2 linked regions of the Saccharomyces cerevisiae S288C genome follow. The main gene of each other region encodes a partner of the protein of the gene in region 2 in a complex. Each region holds a gene or a part of one and is shown on either strand. Other genes may lie near its edges. The genes, in order: PRE4 and PRE3. A codon is read from its position in the direction of its gene.

The links.
Region 1: the proteins of PRE3 (region 2) and PRE4 are in contact, whole or in part, in a crystal structure (PDB 4X6Z), measured with the Saccharomyces cerevisiae proteins. Residues at the interface, in NP_012533.1 of Saccharomyces cerevisiae: Arg38 (codon at 1,366), Thr40 (codon at 1,360), Gly42 (codon at 1,354), Ala43 (codon at 1,351), Tyr44 (codon at 1,348), Ile45 (codon at 1,345), Ala46 (codon at 1,342), Asn47 (codon at 1,339), Arg48 (codon at 1,336), Val49 (codon at 1,333), Asp51 (codon at 1,327), Leu53 (codon at 1,321), Thr54 (codon at 1,318), Arg55 (codon at 1,315), Trp61 (codon at 1,297), Arg64 (codon at 1,288), Gln72 (codon at 1,264), Ala75 (codon at 1,255), Asp76 (codon at 1,252), Phe152 (codon at 1,024), Ile182 (codon at 934), Lys183 (codon at 931), Trp184 (codon at 928), Asp185 (codon at 925), Gly186 (codon at 922), Ser187 (codon at 919), Gly190 (codon at 910), Val191 (codon at 907), Arg193 (codon at 901), Arg204 (codon at 868); in NP_116708.1 of Saccharomyces cerevisiae: Ser65 (codon at 1,438), Leu66 (codon at 1,435), Leu67 (codon at 1,432), Arg68 (codon at 1,429), Phe179 (codon at 1,096), Met183 (codon at 1,084), Tyr218 (codon at 979), Tyr219 (codon at 976), Arg220 (codon at 973), Asp221 (codon at 970), Ala222 (codon at 967), Arg223 (codon at 964), Arg226 (codon at 955), Glu248 (codon at 889), Met250 (codon at 883), Lys251 (codon at 880), Trp252 (codon at 877), Asp253 (codon at 874), Phe254 (codon at 871), Ala255 (codon at 868), Lys256 (codon at 865), Ile258 (codon at 859), Lys259 (codon at 856), Gly260 (codon at 853), Tyr261 (codon at 850), Gln264 (codon at 841), Ile266 (codon at 835).

The regions. Positions count from the first base shown.
Region 1 is NC_001138.5:248,237-251,388, forward strand, and holds PRE4 (proteasome core particle subunit beta 7), read right to left. Parts: upstream 1,631-3,152; coding exon 830-1,630; downstream 1-829. Other genes in the region: alpha-ketoglutarate dehydrogenase subunit KGD4, read left to right, coding at 287-658; RET2 (coatomer subunit delta), read right to left, coding at 1,927-3,152. UniProt on the Saccharomyces cerevisiae protein: Non-catalytic component of the proteasome which degrades poly-ubiquitinated proteins in the cytoplasm and in the nucleus. It is essential for the regulated turnover of proteins and for the removal of misfolded proteins.
Region 2 is NC_001142.9:433,213-436,755, reverse strand, and holds PRE3 (proteasome core particle subunit beta 1), read right to left. Parts: upstream 1,594-3,543; coding exon 1,529-1,593; intron 1,413-1,528; coding exon 830-1,412; downstream 1-829. Other genes in the region: dolichyl-diphosphooligosaccharide--protein glycotransferase subunit OST1, read left to right, coding at 2,105-3,535. UniProt on the Saccharomyces cerevisiae protein: The proteasome degrades poly-ubiquitinated proteins in the cytoplasm and in the nucleus. It is essential for the regulated turnover of proteins and for the removal of misfolded proteins.

The sequences.
Region 1 (3,152 bases), on a different chromosome or scaffold from region 2:
ACGTGCAAGTAAAACCACTCGTTGATTGGCTCCCCTCAAGATTGCATTAAAAGTACAATAATATGACTAAGGGACTCGAATATGTAAATTCATCTTTCGCATCAACAAAGGAGAAAAAGACGATAGTGAAGACTAATATTTTAGCCAGATTGCAGTGTTTCAGTGATCTTAAAAGTCTTTTTCATTTCTAGCCGCATTGAATTCTTTAAAGCAAACCATTAAGGAGTACTTCCCCAGGTTTTTAACCGATAATAAGAGTAAGATAAAAGTACAAGAAGACAGGGAAATGATTGCTACACCTATAAGATTAGCAAAGAGTGCATATGAGCCGATGATAAAATTCGTCGGTACAAGGCATCCCTTAGTGAAGCATGCAACTGAGGTCGTTGTTCATCCTTGCGCTACCAACGGAATGTTACCTGGCAGCAAAGAGTGTATTCCAGTGAGTAAATTCATGGAAAATTATAAACCATTCCGTGTAGTGCCAATAAAGCATAGCGCTAATGCTGGTCTCAGCTCGTCAAAGACCTCTGTATTCGTTAACAGGCCATTGCAAAAAGATGAGCTTGCTTCCATTTTCGAGCTACCTGCTAGGTTTCGGTACAAACCTATTAACGAGCATGAATTGGAGAGCATAAATAGCGGTGGTGCATGGTGAAGGATAGATGCAGTAATATTATGATTTTTTTTTGTTATTTTATAGTTTCTTTACACATATCATTATATCTATGTAAAAACGTAGTTACTTAGGAAGAGAGAAGAGTGATGATATTATGAATTGAAAAATAAAAATAAAATGAGTATTTAATGAAGGTGGGATAAAACTCTTCTAAATTTTTTGAGTACCGTAGCCTTTAATATCCTTGGCGAAGTCCCATTTCATGTTTTCAACTTGCAAGTTTTTCTTGAAAGTTAAACCTGTGTTCTTATCAATTATGGCCAGTGAGAAGTTTCTAGAAGAACGGGCATCTCTATAATAAAGAACTCTCATTGCATTTACGATCGCCTCTTCAGCAACCTGTACAGTGGTCTTTGGAATATCAGATTCTCGATCTACAACTTTCCTTAACAGTGGGTTTGCCATGTGTGCCCCAAAACCTGTGGCCAAGGTGGGAGACGAATACGTAACACCTAGAAGATTTACGTATCTTAGGAATTGATCACCATTAGACTGTACACCAGCAACAATGATGGCATTCCAAAGTGGATTCATCTTTGATCTTCGCTGGTACATGACGGTAGCTAGATATTCAAAAATATAGCTGGGTTCGAGCGCTTCTTCAGCATCCGCTAGAGGATTGTCATACGCATTTTCAGTGACTAGATCTTTCAATAATCTCTCAATGTGTTGCATATCAGAAATATCACCTGAAATGCCCACAACGGTGTTATCACCCACGGGAATAAGCCTCTCCACGCCATTGAATCTTAGAAGAGAGCCATATGAACCTAAATTATCTGCTGCAATGATAACCCCATTATCATATTTCATTGATATGACGGAAGTACCTGTTACTATTGGTTGCTGTGTATTAACCATGGGAGAGGCGCCTGCGTTCGCAATTTGTGTATTGTAAGCACCATAAGTAGAGTCTGCGGGCCTGCCCCAACTGAAAGGATCGTGATTCATTCGTGTGGGTTTTTATGTTGTTTTCGGCGGAAGATGAAGGATTCCTGCTGCTTATCCCCTTTCTTAACTTAGCTGTACTTTACTATGTGGGTACGTATTTAAGGTGGCAAATTCTAAACCAAGAAGCTGGAACATCTTTAATAAAAAGGATTGACGGGTAACCCTAAAAGGAAAAATAATAAAGAATAAGAGTAAGTTAAACTATATATATAGAAGGACGAAAGAAAAGATACCTCGATTTTTATTTATTTAGTTTGTGTATATAACTTAAGTATTTTATATGTGAATGTAACGTACTATTGGACAAGATATTCATCTGATTTCAAAGAGGTGATGACGTCGTAAGGGAGCTCTTGATCGTGGTCATTGGCCATGACAACAGATTGTATGGCCATACCGGTGAAACTCTTAGCTAATTTATCCCTCGTGGACTCTTGGAAGGAAACGGTCATTGGGTACAATGCATCTTCATATGGAGCTTCGATAGTGAATGCTAGCGCACCTGCATCGTTGGCAGCAATTTTGCTAATCTTAATGGAGGTTCCCATTTCTTGGTCCATGTTGACAACTTCAGCGTCAGAGCATGTAGAAGACTCTGTATTTATGTCTACTGGCTCCTGAGGGAAAACTGGAATGGTGAAGATCACATCAGCGAGTTCTGTTTCCAGGACGCTCTCATACTCAATAATGACATCAAAGCCCTGTTGTGATTCGGAGGGGGAAACCCATGTAGTTAGAGTTAATGGAATTAATGAGTCATCTTCTGCGGGAGCGACTTTACGCCATCTTAGAACACCCAGGCTTTGGTCGTTGGCTGGGAAAGCCTTAGATTTATCACGCAGGGAGATAAGTTTAGTGGATAGGAACGATTGTTTATCTATGTTTGGATGGGTCTTAAACTGGAAGGATTTATCGCGAACGTCAATAGAATCAGCTAGTTTTAGGTTCGAGTGAGATAAGTCATGGTCATTAATTCTTAGTTCTAAAACACCTTTCAATTCAGAAGAGTGAATGGTACCATCTCTGGAGAATTCTGCATTGATTACCTCCTTGATAGAGATCAAAATACCATTGTTCTCTGGGACATCCTCCTCCGGAGGAGGTGGAGTGCCAGAAGAGGCTGAAGAAATTGCACTTGGCCGTGGTGCGGCACCCGCTCTTCTTCCGGCACCACCACCCAATTTCATACCGCCAGTAGCAGAATGTCCCGCACGCTGAGACGTAGCCATTGGGGAGGCCACTGGGGCCACCTCAGCAGCAGCGGCATGGGAACTTTGTAGATAAGACTGTTGTGCTGCAGGAGAAGCATGGGAGTAGTAACTGTTGATGGCGTTTGTAACGTTAGGATCTTTACTTCCCATGAACCTATTGGCGCCGTCGTAATCGCCATTTGAAGACATAAACCCGTGTTTCCTTTCATGTTCTTTTCTAGCAATTTCCTTAGCACGGCGCTTCCTCTCCTCAGTAGCTTCGATCTCTTTATTACGCTCAATAATTTCCTGGATTCTTTCTTCGTGCGACT
Region 2 (3,543 bases):
ACTCCCCGGTGTTACCTTTTCACTGTAAAATTTTTCTTTAGAACTACACAACACAACAATATTTTATTTATTTATATTCTCGATCTATCGCTATTTTCGCCCCTCGGTAAAAGAGATAAGAAAAAAAAAAACGCGATGAACAATAGCTAAAACAAAACAGATGCCTAACCAAGACGCGTTGTGTATAACAAAATACCAGTTTAGTTGTTGTGGATGCTTATTCTATTTAGGATGGCCAAAGAACCTACAAAAAAATAAAAAAAAAATAATATTATACTCGTTCTCAACAACTCTACTAATTATTAAATAGGATTATATTAGAGTAACTTAATCACGTGTTAAATAATTAATTTACTTTAAAATTTATTTTTTAATATAAAATATTTATTCTTTTTATTTAAAAATAAAAAACACAAAAAAACAATGTTTATGATTTCCGAACCTAAATATACACTTTACGAGAAGAAATGATTTTCCGGTAGTTAACCTTTTTTTATAGATACGTAGATACAGTCACCATTTTTAACATTGCACACAACTGTACGAATGCATAGATAAGGTAAGCCTTCCAGGACTCCGAAGAATTAGTGAATCAATCTCACATACGTTTTTATACAACAAAAAAATGATTAGTCGTAAAATATCTTGCTTACGAAATTCCCTTCTGAGATACTTTGTCGTTCTAACAGTTAGAGAAAAAAGCGTAAAGCGAAGAGAAAAAGAGAAAGAGGTTATAGACTATTATATGTTATATCAGTGTAGATCCAGAGGCATTTGTTAACAAATATAAAGAGAAGTAATCACTCAGAATTTGTTCTTTTGGGGTCTATTATAGTTGTTCATATTCATCAGGGTAGAATATCAAACGTTCCACACCAGCAGCTGTCAAAACAACCATTCTTATAACACCACCGGAAGATCCGTCCCATTTAATGGCTTGCGATAGCGAATGCTTTATGAAATCTACGGTTTCTTCCTTTGACATATTTTCTCTAAAGTTTTTATCACAATACCCATATATGAAAGTAGAGCCAGATCCTGCTATCGCATAAGGCAGCTTATGGACGGAGCCACCCAATGGAATAGTATATACTTCCCCTTTGTTTTTGTCATCATAACCAGCCACAATTATACCAGCAGTAAGGTTATCTTTATTTTCGTAACATAATTCTTTGAACACCGAGGCAGCAGTCTCTGTGGAGGGGGTACCATATTGAGAAGTATATAATTCCAAATGGTACTGAACAATGTCGGCAATCGCCTGCGTGTCTGCTGCAGAACCGGACCTACAACACCAAATTTTGTCATGTACTCTCGTTAATTTATCTGTCACACGGTTAGCTATGTACGCACCAGTGGTGGTACGTGAATCAGCACCTAGTATCACACCATCCTTAAATGTCACGGCCATACTATTTTATTAGGTGATTATAAGATACCTATTAGTTAGTAATAAGGCCAATTGAGACTTTACTTCATTGAACTTTTAGAAACAATAAAGTGGGAGGAAAAATTCTTATATACATACATTGAGGTACCTAAACTGACTTCGCCCTTTTTCAAACGATTGATGTCCACTTGAATTCCATTCATGTTAACTTTCTGTGTGTACTTTGAAGTAGCAATTCTTATCGTAATTGTACACCGTCTCGCAACTTGTTTAAAATACTGTTAAAGATTGCATTTCAATGCTTTTCCCTTTTTTGCCACCGGATTCCGTTGCGAGTGGAAAAGTGAAAATGACAAAATTCAAAAGAAATCTATCAATATAACAAAAACGCCAAATCATCAAAAATGATCGGTGTTGAAGAGCTTGGCACTCTTAAAGGCGGCTAGTTCATAATGCTATAGGAATTGACTCAAGGAAACGGACTATGTCTTGTACTGAATACTGTCTTCAATTGCCCATAGAATGCGTTAGTGTTACTCTTCTTCGCGAGCAGGGTAAGTATGCGCGTAATGTTTTTTATTTTCTGAAAGGTTCAAAGTATGCAGAACAAATTAATGTTTGCTTTTTATTAAGCAAGCTACTTCTTTGACAAGTACCCGATTGCTTCTTTAGCTCGGAACAAGACGCAAACTACAAAATATTGGTGCTGAAAAAATGAGGCAGGTTTGGTTCTCTTGGATTGTGGGATTGTTCCTATGTTTTTTCAACGTGTCTTCTGCTGCCCAATACGAGCCACCTGCGACTTGGGAGAATGTTGATTATAAGAGGACAATAGACGTGTCAAACGCTTATATTTCAGAAACAATCGAAATAACTATCAAAAACATAGCAAGCGAACCTGCGACTGAATACTTCACAGCCTTTGAGAGTGGCATCTTCAGTAAAGTTTCCTTTTTTTCAGCCTATTTTACCAACGAGGCAACTTTTTTAAATAGCCAATTACTTGCCAATTCGACTACAGCACCTGGTGACGATGGTGAAAGTGAAATTAGATACGGGATCATTCAATTTCCAAATGCAATTTCCCCTCAGGAAGAAGTTTCTTTAGTGATTAAGAGCTTCTATAATACCGTAGGTATTCCTTATCCTGAGCACGTTGGAATGTCAGAAGAACAACACCTATTGTGGGAAACGAACAGATTGCCGCTTTCTGCTTACGATACCAAGAAGGCCTCTTTTACGCTGATTGGTAGCTCATCATTTGAGGAGTACCACCCCCCAAATGACGAGAGTTTACTGGGAAAAGCTAATGGAAACTCTTTTGAGTTTGGGCCTTGGGAAGATATTCCGAGATTTTCTTCAAACGAAACCTTAGCAATTGTTTATTCCCACAATGCCCCATTGAATCAGGTAGTGAATTTGAGAAGAGATATTTGGCTTTCTCATTGGGCTTCCACAATACAATTTGAGGAATATTATGAATTAACAAACAAAGCCGCAAAACTGTCTAAAGGATTTTCAAGATTAGAATTAATGAAACAGATTCAAACTCAGAATATGAGACAAACTCACTTTGTTACTGTCTTAGACATGCTCCTGCCTGAGGGAGCTACTGATCATTATTTCACTGATTTGGTTGGCCTTGTTTCCACGTCGCATGCAGAACGTGACCATTTCTTTATAAGACCAAGATTCCCAATCTTTGGAGGTTGGAACTACAATTTTACTGTCGGTTGGACTAATAAATTGTCCGATTTCTTGCATGTATCCTCTGGCTCAGACGAGAAATTCGTTGCTTCTATCCCAATTCTAAACGGCCCACCGGACACTGTATATGATAATGTTGAATTATCGGTATTTCTTCCGGAAGGGGCCGAAATATTCGATATTGATTCTCCAGTCCCTTTTACAAATGTTTCTATAGAAACCCAGAAATCATACTTTGACCTAAATAAAGGTCACGTTAAATTAACTTTCAGTTACAGAAATTTGATTAGTCAAGTTGCCAATGGCCAAGTCTTGATAAAGTACGACTACCCGAAAAGCTCTTTTTTCAAGAAGCCTCTGTCTATTGCTTGCTATATTTTCACCGCACTAATGGGAGTTTTTGTCTTAAAAACTTTGAACATGAACGTAACTAACTGAGTTCACGT